Linked DNA regions of Drosophila melanogaster. The protein of the gene in region 1 purifies or fractionates together with the protein of each later gene. This does not show direct contact. Each region holds a gene or a part of one and is shown in the gene's direction. Other genes may lie near its edges. The genes, in order: CG6171, Slu7 and CG1532.

Region 1 (3,679 bases):
AAATAATCCTGATGATAAAAGAATGGTTACACATTTAGATGCTTTCAGTTTGCACTTCCTTGACAAGTCCGCAAAAACGCATTCCAGCGGTACCGAAAATGGCTGAACGGGTTAAGTTGCGGTGCGCCAGCAAACATGAATCCGGAGAAGATCCATCCCAAGATACTTCATTGAGCAACGAGGTGTGTTGACCAAAACTTTATTCAGAGAATACATTTCAACCCATACAACCCATAATTTTAAGCAAATTAATCTGGTCGAACATTTGGTGTCGGAGCTAAAGGAGCAAAATCTATATATGGAGAACTTTATGGAGCCCCTACATTTGAGCAAAGACTTGGAGCGACTGCAACGACGTGTTGAACAATTGGAGATGCGAAACACCATGCTGGCACTGACGCTAGACGAATGCAAGGAGCACACTGAGCATCTGTATCTGCTATGCGGAAAGTACGAGTCCAATGCGGTTGCTCTTCAGTTGGCGCTTAATTGCAGTGATCGCGCCATCGAGGCCTACGACGTAATGTTGGCTCTGCTCGAAAGCAAGTAAGTACAATCACCATAAGACGCGGGTTGTTGTCCCTATTTCACAATTCATCACTTCCAGGTTGGCACTGCTGGGGGAGAAATCAGTGGCAGCGGAAGAGAGTCGACGATCGGTGGAGGCGGTGGCCAGGCACCTGCTAGCCCGTTTGGATAGCGAGAAAAACGTTTGTGAGAACAGCCTGGGACCGTGGCAACACAACATCAACCTGGGCCCAGAGGATGCCCCAAAAACTGGCCGCCCGTGGTGTGCCGACGACGACAACCGCCTGCGTTACCACGTCTCCAAGCTGAAGGGACGTCGTTCCAATGTCCAGCATACCATTGTCAGTTTGGAATCACCCTTCAGCGACATATACGAAAGAAAGCGCCTGGCTTTGGAAAAGGAGCACGAACTTCGGAGCGCGGACAAGAAGTCACCCATTGACTTGGAGACAGCAGTGATTATGCAAGAAATACTCGAGCTGCGGGATTCGAATTTGCAGCTGAAGACAAAAATGGAAGAGGCCGAGCAGGAACGGCAGAACGCCAACGAACGAGTGGGCATACTCCACGAAGCCCTAAAGCAGCTACAGGCAAACAACCGGGTCTCGTATTCGGAGGCGGAGCATGCGGCTCTCACAGAGCAGCAGTTGGTGGAGGCCTTAACTCGAGAAACGGAGCTCAAGGGTCGCATACAGACGCTATTGGCAAATGTAACAGCTTCGCAGAAGGCCTTCGACGAAAAATACGAGCAACTGCATCAGAACGTGCGTGAACTGCAGAAATCCAACCAGTAAGATTCGTTTTATTTTGACTGTTTCATACATAATTTCTTCATATTTCCCTTTTAGCAATCTGGGCCAAATGTTAGATCACACCAAGCGCAAGTACCAGCTGCGGGTGAGGAAGCTAGAGCAGAAGATTGTTGACCTGCGGCTGGACTACGAGCAAGGCCATAACCATGTTCCTGAGACTACTCTGTAGGAAACGCATGACGACCTTCCAGGAGGACTGAGCAACTGGGCGTGGAGCGGGCGCGCTTGTCACATATCCCGCAAAAGATCTTTCCCTCTCGATCATATCGCTTATTTTACCTTTAATGCAATGACCACCCGCCCAGCAGTCGCCGTGGATCCGCCATGACCAAGACAGTATCACGAATGTGCCATGCGACTTAATTGCAGTCGGCTGGGGCTTGGGCGGTGTCCCTGCCTCGCAGATAAGGCTGCAGTAACTACATACTCAAATACATACATATTCAGAGGTGCCATGAGCAAGGCTCCACCAACCTATCCATAGATCCGTGGGATTGGAGCATCCGTCTATGGGCCACAAGCAATTACATATACACACATACGAATAGACAAACTAAGGAGTTATTCAAGACGCATACACGGGATCCTATATTTATACAATGTATTCGCATTTTGCTTGTTATATGATTCAATATGTATTTAAAACTGTACAAAATATAAAACGTCTACTAAAACTCGATAAAATTCACGAATTTGAAATTGGCTCCAATAATTAATCGATAAGCTAATGAAACTAACTTAAGCATCCATCACCATTTCGTGTAGTGTTGCAAATCACCAGAATCAAGTATATGAGTACTTGTGAAATAAAAATGTTTTGAAAATTTAACTTAATTTACTTAAAATGAGTGCCACAGATGCATCTACAGCCGATAGTGGCGCTAAACGAAAATCTTCTGAAGATATCACACACAATTGCAACGCAAATTTTGGCGCAGAAAACGGCCTAAGAAAGCGCGTAAAATCGGAGGAGCCTGTGGCGTCCATTAAAGATGAAACAAATCCTGAAGTTCCTATGAAAATAAAAGCTGAGCCAGTGGAGAATGCAGATGAGCCCACAAGCACTACTCCTGCGATCAAGATTAAAGCCGAACCAGCGGACAATGGAAACTCACCTGCAGCTGCGATGGTAAAAACCGAGCCCACTAATAGCAATGCACAGGACGCCGCCGACGAGTCTACCGTATCTTCAAGCAGTATTAGGACTTCTTGTCGCTTCGGCATACGATGCTACAGGTGATTCACACTAACCAACTCCCATATTACCAACTAAAAATATACCTTTTTCCAATGACAGGCGAAATCCAGCTCATCGTAGTGCAGAAGCTCATCCGGGGGATCAGGATTACCGGCGACCAAACTTTCCAGCGCCACCCCTCGGAACTCCAGCTTGTCCTTTCGGTAACGCATGCTATCGCCGTAACCCAGTTCACTTCCAGGATTACTCCCATCCTGCGGATTGTAAGTAGAAGGCTTGGCATACTTCGGCTTCAAATTGGCTAAAGCCCATTGTAGTCAATTCCGCGCAGAACATTCGAAATCGTCTGCGTCAACGGCGAGCCCAACGGCAGAACGACGATGACTCGGGGACGGATGAGGAGGATGAACCCTTTGGTGGCGACAATGACAGGGATGCGGACTACCGTCCAGGCGCAGACATAAACGAAGATGAGGATGATGAGCTGGAGTTTGATAGCCAACCAATAAGTGGGGATGACTATGATTAGACTATAAATTCAAATTCGCTGTTAACTTAGATGATACGTTCCATTTGCCGAATAATAGGCTTTATATATATATATTATATTCTGTTGATGAAAACTTATGTCTATGGAGTTCCATTAGTAGAAGCCCTCGTCAACTTCATCGGCTGGCTTTTGATCAAAAGTGGCGCCCCATTTTGCAGCCTCTCCGCCGCGAACTTTTACATTGTAGCAAACATTCTCGGCCTTAAGAACGCTCTGCTTCATGGTAGTGATCTTACGCCATAGTTCACGGGCTCTCTGACAGTTTAGACTGATGTAACTGAAAACAATAGGAAGTTAATTGAGTTTCTTAAGGGAGAACTAACCAACCCGCTGTAGAAATGCTGCAGGGCCTTGCAGGTGTCCAAACAGGTGTCTGTATCTCCACTGCCTAGCGAATTTATGCAGCGGCGCATCAGTTCACCAGTAAGATCCGAAAGTCCAAGTATATATTCCGTGGGGTCTACGAAAAACTGGAACTTCTTTGGGCTCTCAACCTGAGCTATAGCCTGAACATCTTCGCCTTCAGTTGGTTCTTCCTTTGGCTGGCTGCTCTCCTCGACGTACTGCATCACCGCCTGAATGGCCTGCCAA
Region 2 (3,756 bases), about 14 Mb from region 1:
GTGATGTATATTCAGATAATAATATTAATAATTTCGCTACTATGATTCAGTATGTTACTGACTTATTCTGGGTTTAATTGAAAGGATTCATGATTCACAGAAAAAAATGTACATTCATTTTTGCAAAACGAAAATCTGTAGCTTACAAAAATATCAATTCTTTTCATCTTTTACTATTCAACACTACTATTTTGGCTGCCACTGTGTTTCAGCCCGTTTGTGTGTGTACATTAGGCAATCGCTCAAACGACAACAGTCCGTGGAACAAAAGTCGAAAATAGTGCGCGACCATCATCTGCTATGGTAATATTTCTAGCGTATAAATCATTCCAAGGAGTGCAACTTTGTTTATTTCGCAATTCCACAGATTGTTGTTTAGTGTACACTAGTCTCGCCACTAGTCTAATGCGCATCCAATTGGGATATAACGCGTTTTCTAATTGGCAATTTGGTGGGAACAAGTACATACTTAGTTGCCCTTTTTCTTCGCACACAATCTTGGGTACTTTCAGTGTCGTTTAGCTTTGATTACATATGTATATTGCCATTGCTTGCTCACTTTTTTATGCAAATTCTTTGTGTTCATGTATGGCAAATATACTCACACTTTCACACACACATACACACGCAGTCAGCTTTTTTCCACAGATTAAACAACAAAGAGAGAACAACAAGAATTTCTAATGATGCCTCTCACTTGCACTTCTGCCACCCACCAATACACGCGCGTCTCACGCCCACTCCAATTGGAAACACCTGACGAAACGCCAATAAGTGCGCTCAATTAACTAAACTAACCCGTCCAATTGGAAAATTTGTAATTTTCTAATTGGTGAAAACGAAGGTCTTCCAGCTGGCAGAGTTGCCGTACTGTCCACCTGTCAGCTTGACACTAACGAACGCAGTGTTGGTAAACATACGAAATGCGCACTATGTTCGTAGTTCAAATATTATATTTCATTGTTTTTTAAATTGTATGCTAACCACTCCGCTTGGCTATGAGATACACGTTTCGCTGACATTTTTCGCTTCACAATCAAGCACCACACACGGAGTAATATTTAGAAAGTCCCATCGATGGATTTTATATACATATACCACTCTCTTATTTTCTTGCTCTCTCTACTGTTGGTATATAGAAAATGTTTAACGTTTCAAATGAAAAGTTATTGAAACGCTTCCTTACAATGTTTATGTGAAATGGGTATGCACGACACCAAATAGGCAGAAAATATTGCAATCAACAATGAAACAAAAAGAATAAAATAATTCATATGCGCGCGCAGGAACTTGTATATCAGAGAAAAAGTGTTCAGCTATGTGTGCGAAAAAATTAAGGATGCCTTCACACTAGAGCACACACACACACACGCTCGACATATGTATGCGCTTATACACACACGCACGCACACAGTTAAACGCACCCGTTTGCACAGCGTTATAAATTTATTGGTTTTCCCAGGCAATTTCCTTGGTTTTCCAACGAATTCGAACAGTTTCACAAAATCACAGTGTCCACCATTTTCCGTTGCATTGCTGGGTAGTTTTCTTATTGGCTTTAAAACTGTTTCGCGTATTACTATTGATAAAAATGTTCACTTCACTCCAATTCTTATTGGAAAAACGTTAGCGATGTGCCAAGGTGGGCGATACATATCGTGGGGGTGCTACAGATTGTCCAACACTTTCGCTGTTAAGCCAAGTGCTTCTCTGCTTGCCAACACTTTTCGATAACCGATAACATAAAAGAGAAATAAATATTACAACTAATATTATCTAGTAAATAAAATCAGGCAATATGAGCTCGGGGCCCATGCGCACGCCGGTCTCGCAGATCATTCTGAGCAAGCACGACCAGGATGCCGAGGAGGAACCCAAGAAGAAGTCCCGTGAGGACTGGCGCAAGGCCAAGGAGCTGGAGGAGGCTCGAAAAGCGGGAACAGCTCCGGCCGCCGTCGACGAGGAGGGTCGCGACATAAATCCCCACATTCCGCAGTACATATCGAATGCACCATGGTATTACGGATCGGCTGGGCCCACTCTCAAGCATCAGCGACCGCAGCACGAGGACGAGCAAGGACAGCTGGACAAGAGGGCGCCCAAAGGACTTAACACCGCACGCATCATTACCAAGTTCCGCAAGGGAGCCTGCGAGAACTGTGGCGCCGTCACACACAAACGAAAGGACTGCCTGGAGCGGCCGCGGAAAGTCCAAGCCAAGTACGCTGAATCCATCGTCGTGCACGACGAGCATTTGGTCAATGAAGCGGCGGTGAACTATGACGAGAAACGAGATCGCTGGAGTAGTTACGATCCGGCCAATCACAGAGAGATCATTGAGGAGTACGAAAAGGTGGAAGAGGCCAAGCGACAACTTAAAGCAGAGAAGCTGAAAAATGGTAGGTAAAAGTGAATTCAGAGTGCTTATAGTTGAATTAATATCATTCGCATGTACCCCTTAGATCCCGATGCTGAAATATCCGATGAGGAAGGCAACGAGGACAAATATGTGGACGAAGTGGACATGCCCGGCACAAAAGTGGACTCCAAACAGCGAATTACAGTGCGCAACTTGCGTATCCGCGAGGATACGGCGAAGTACCTGAGGAACTTGGATCCCAACTCGGCCTACTATGATCCCAAGACGCGCTCCATGCGTGACAATCCCAATCCTGCTGTCCCCGAAGAGGAGTGAGTAACAAAAAGTTGCACATATAAAGAAATTTCTTAACTACTCATTCTTGCAGAGCTGAGTTTGCTGGCGAGAACTTTGTACGCTTTTCTGGAGACACTACAGCCCAAGCCACCGCCCAGTTGTTTGCCTGGGAAGCTCATGGCAAGGGGGTTGATGTGCATCTGCTAGCGGAGCCCACTAAGTTGGAGCTGCTTCAGAAGGAGTACGAGCAGAAGAAGGAACAGTTCAAGTCAAGTGTAAGTAATTGAAAATGGAAATTTCTTGGAAACATTACTATATCCATTTCCTTTATTTTTCCAGACCAAAACACACATTGTGGAGAAATATGGTGGCGAAGAGCATCTACAGGTTCCACCAAAGTCGCTATTGCTGGCGCAGACCGAGGAGTACATCGAGTACTCTCGCAGCGGCAAGGTTATCAAGGGCGTGGAGAAACCGAAAGCGCGCAGTATCTACGAGGAGGATGTGTATATCAACAATCACACAACAGTTTGGGGCAGTTTCTGGAACGCCGGACGCTGGGGTTACAAGTGCTGCAAGTCCTTCATCAAGAACTCCTACTGCGTGGGCATGCAGGAGCCAGAGGGCTACTCGGAACATCATTCTACGAGCTCCACTGCAGCGGCTACTACAGAACCTGCAGCTCAAAGCCAATTCAAGGTACCAGAAGTGCCACCTGAAAGGCCCACTTCCGAAGTGGACTCAGCATCGAGTTCGGAACCCTCCTCATCCGAAGAGGAGGAGGTAAAACCTGAGAAGAAGAAGACCAAGAAGAAGTCGAAGAAGCGCGAGAAGAAAAAGAAGGCTAAGGAGCAGCGAAAACAAAAAGGCAAGAACAAGGAGACCAAGGACAAAGATAAGACAAAGGAAAAAGATATTCCCGAGGAACTGGACGATCGCAAACGAGCCTATAACAGCATGTATGATGTGAAGGCGCCCACAGAGGACGAGATCGAGGAGTGGAAGAAGAAGCGGCCAAGGGCAGAAGATCCCATGCTGCAATTTATGTAGGCAATAAAGTACAACTGATTCTCTTATATAAAAACTTTCTAATCTTAACA
Region 3 (3,756 bases), on another chromosome or scaffold:
GCAGACAAGCCAGCGGCCAAATGAGTGTCAACAAGGTCAAGAGTCCTACGATCCGGAACCGGATCCGCTGGAGGCAAGTCAGTGCAAGCTAGAGCAGGAAGATGCACTCGATCCGGAATGGCAGCACAAAATAGAGCAGGACGCAGAATCGCAAGACTCGGCGCGACTGGAAGGGCATTTCCATGACTACAAACCTATCCCTTCGAAAGCCTTATGATCAACTATAACCTATCCATATACGTCCGGTTACATACATCAGGTTAGCGCCCCTTGAGCAAAAATCTTTGATTTGAGATATTTAGAAAACTGTTAAAGCTAGAGTTTTGAAAATTGCTTTTCATTCAAACGTTGAACAATTCTATAAATGTAAAATTTATATAGGATGCAGTTTCTTGTTTATAGATTTTTATTTAAGTAAAAAAAAAATCCATAAATGGGTTAATTAAAATTGGGTTATCAGGATAACGCCCCCTAAGATAATTTAAGTTGGTTCGATTCATTTCGAAAGAAATTGGGATGATTAACACTTAAATATTTAAATTAGAATATTTTTAAAGGAAATTATGGACTTCACACATTCGTCTGGAAAGGGAATCATATATTTTTTTTGTAGGTAATCCAAAGTAATCGCAGACCAATCGAGTTTTATTCCGGTGAACGATTCGTTTTGAGTGGCATATTGTTTACCACCCTCGTATACCTTCCTAGCCAACCATACCCACACGTTATCTATTATATAGTAGTAGTATGGTGGTAGTAGTATGGAATCCATGTTTTTGCCAAACGTGCAGTGTGGATTGAGACACTGTCAATTTGAAAATGTCATTCTAAATTTCCAAAAACGTTTCTAAAGTAGGGAAATGCAGTTTTGAATTATAATCTTTTGCGTTCATTTTTGGTGTTTAAAACTGCAATTTACCTATAACCCGACTGTGACAGCGATCCAAAATGTACGCAAATCATAATAGTAATGAAAAAAGCCGTCTGGTTTCTCCAGATTAAATTTCTTCTTGTCCGAAAATACGACGCCACTCCTTAGACCAAGTCAAATGAGCTCGAGCAAAACTCAGACCCGCTTTTTTTCGCAACTTATTGAGAGGTGGTTTTATTTTCAGTTTTTCGTGTTTTATGTTTAGCTGTCTTAATCACCATTTGAATCAAAGATTTGATCTGGTTTTCAACACTTTTTCTCGAATTTTGGCGGAGAAGTCGTGGGAATTGGGAGGTATTCGAAGTATGGACCTGCGATCTGCCGCGGTAAAGACAAGGTTATTGCCACCATTATTTTTTTTTTCCATAAGTTTCGTTCTTTTGAATAAAGTTTATTATAGGGTTGCGACATCTGGCGGGTTTTCTGAAATTTTATGATTATGAGCATTAATAGAATGCTATGATATTGTATATTTCCTGCAGGGATAACAGGGTTCCTCTTAAAGCAAACTTTTCAATTCAACAGCATAACAAATTTTGTTGTCCTTACCTTAGGACCTTTTTTTTATCCTCAAGGAGAGAGGGAATGTCAGTGAACAAAAAACAACAACATTGATGAATTTTCGTGCAATGGCAAAACCAGAAAATAAAAATGAACGGAGCCATGCAGGGGGCGCTAATCTGATGACGCGTAGTGTATATCCAATGAACTATCATGCAAATGTGGCTAGGACGCATTAGCGAAAATTTTTAAATATCTTACTTTCACGACATTTTATCCTTGCTACTACAATGTATTAAATAGTTTTATATGTTCGCTTACTTCGTATTTTATACGTTTTATATGCTCGCTTACTCCATATTTTAAGTGCCTAATAAAACTGTTGACGATAATTGCTTTTCATGGAAGGACTTTTGTGACAACATTTTGGATATACTCTTTTTTTAAAGTGTATTTGTCAAGTGTAAAATTTTGTGTCACAAAAGGTAAATTCCGATATTCGTTTTTTGAAGGTGCGATAGTCATTAGTTTTTTCCTCGTAGATGTCAATCAGCAAAAAGCGCACTTTATAATTTAAAACTTACAGTGTATTTAAATTTATTATTATTTAGTCTAAACTAAAAAATATCGATACTTCCAAAAGCTCCCGTCGCTGGGAATATTTGCTGTTCTGCGCACGGCCACACTGAAACGGAATGTACATAAACAAGGCCGAAATTCGATCGGAAAGCACTTGCTGAATAAACGCCAGCTGATAAACACAAAGATGTCGGCCATATCGGGACGCGCCCTGCACTATGTGTTCAAAATCGGAGATCGGGCGAAAAACGCCTTCTTCTTTCGGCAAATCTTGGGAATGACGGTAAGCTGGGTGTGGCGGGCGTATCGCCAGAAATCGGCAGACTTCCTTATCGCAGGCTGTTGTGTCTGGCTGTAGTTTTATCTGGACAACGTGTCAACGACGCGCGGCTGCTAATTAAAAAGCCCAGATGCCCGATAATGTCATATAATGACTGTGTTAAAATTTCATTTTTCTCTCATCGTTTTTGCTCCCTTCTATCGCCATCCCGCTCGTTCGCACGGCAACAGGTGCTGCGGCATGAGGAGTTCAAGGAGGGATGCGACGCAGCTTGCAACGGGTGAGTGCTATTTCGGAGTGTTGCGACAGGACTAACTGGTAGTGTTAATCCTTCACAGGCCCTATGACAATCGGTGGAGCAAAACAATGGTGGGTTATGGACCCGAAAGTTCGCATTTCGTCATCGAACTCACGTATAACTATGGAGTGAGCAGCTACGAAATGGGTAAGACACATACCGGATAAAAATGTTAGGCTCACATGAGGATTAAAAGTCCTGAGTGCAAGCTAACAAGCGGGAACGTTTTAACCCTTACAGCGGCTAAGTAATATCATCCTAAAATACCTATTTATTTTATCAGGCATTAAAGCGTTTTTAATAAGAATTGAGAGTTGAAAAAGTTTGAAACTTCAGTGATGGTAGGCTAAATCGCATATTTAAGCTTTGAGCAGTCATATGTACACATTTCTGGAAATTTGAAAAAATGTACAACCCTATAAATGATTACCGAGTTATAATCCAAAATATTTAATCTAACACTAGTAAAATTGGGATGGCTTATCTTAAAGTACAAATGAGTTATTCTATCTTCGACAACTTCATAATTAAGTGTTTCACTAATAATAGCTATTCGATAAGTGACTTGTCTTAAGTACGTAAAGATAGTAGGTTATTAATCTTTTTCTTTATGAATACGGAAATAGTTATCTATAAGTAGGTCGAAATCTATCAGTCATTCTAGTTAAAACCGCGATGAAGATTTCTGTCTATCACAAAATGAACTAAAAACGAAAGTATGTGAGTTGAATGTTTGAAGATGTTTGAAAAAGTACAGTACAGTAATTGAAATATACTACTTAATGATTCCCTTTGTATTAATTCCCAAGTTAATTTTAACACTTATAAATCCTGTTAATCGATACTTATTCTTTTCGATTCAGGCAATGATTTTGGGGGCGTGACCATACACTCCAAGGATATCCTTTCCCGCGCCGCCGAGCACTCGTATCCTGTGACACAGGTGTCTGGAAAAGCCGGTAGTCTGCTGACCTCGCCCGATGGCTACAAGTTCTATGTGATCGATCAGGCCTCTGCCAGCTCTGATCCTGTCCAATCGGTGGAGCTTAATGTGAGCAATCTTCAAAACTCGCGCAAATACTGGCACGATTTGCTGCAACTGAAAGTTCTCGAGGAGAACGAAGCAAGCGTGCGTTTGAGTTACGGTGAACAGCAGGCTTCACTGGA

The links.
Region 2: the proteins of CG6171 (region 1) and Slu7 purify together in Drosophila melanogaster (affinity purification with mass spectrometry, with the first as the bait; one large-scale study listed by BioGRID). This does not show direct contact.
Region 3: the proteins of CG6171 (region 1) and CG1532 purify together in Drosophila melanogaster (affinity purification with mass spectrometry, with the first as the bait; one large-scale study listed by BioGRID). This does not show direct contact.

Annotation. Positions count from the first base shown.
Region 1 is NT_033777.3:15,362,274-15,365,952, reverse strand, and holds CG6171 (uncharacterized protein), read left to right. Parts: upstream 1-2,095; 5' UTR 2,096-2,184; coding exon 2,185-2,576; intron 2,577-2,637; coding exon 2,638-2,801; coding exon of another isoform or gene 2,802-2,809; exon of another isoform or gene 2,810-2,855; coding exon 2,856-3,067; 3' UTR 3,068-3,157; downstream 3,158-3,679. Other genes in the region: CG34404 (uncharacterized protein), read left to right, coding at 49-182, 245-546, 608-1,318, 1,377-1,509; Trax (translin associated factor X), read right to left, coding at 3,182-3,365, 3,416-3,679. UniProt on the Drosophila melanogaster protein: Displays apurinic-apyrimidinic (AP) endonuclease and 3'-5' exonuclease activities in vitro.
Region 2 is NT_033777.3:29,037,033-29,040,788, reverse strand, and holds Slu7 (Slu7), read left to right. Parts: upstream 1-1,717; 5' UTR 1,718-1,798; coding exon 1,799-2,399; intron 2,400-2,462; coding exon 2,463-2,691; intron 2,692-2,747; coding exon 2,748-2,931; intron 2,932-2,995; coding exon 2,996-3,706; 3' UTR 3,707-3,731; downstream 3,732-3,756.
Region 3 is NC_004354.4:21,026,718-21,030,473, reverse strand, and holds the start of CG1532 (uncharacterized protein), read left to right. Parts: upstream 1-2,112; 5' UTR 2,113-2,198; coding exon 2,199-2,294; intron 2,295-2,521; coding exon 2,522-2,571; intron 2,572-2,629; coding exon 2,630-2,736; intron 2,737-3,452; coding exon 3,453-3,756. Other genes in the region: CG1529 (uncharacterized protein), read left to right, coding at 1-217.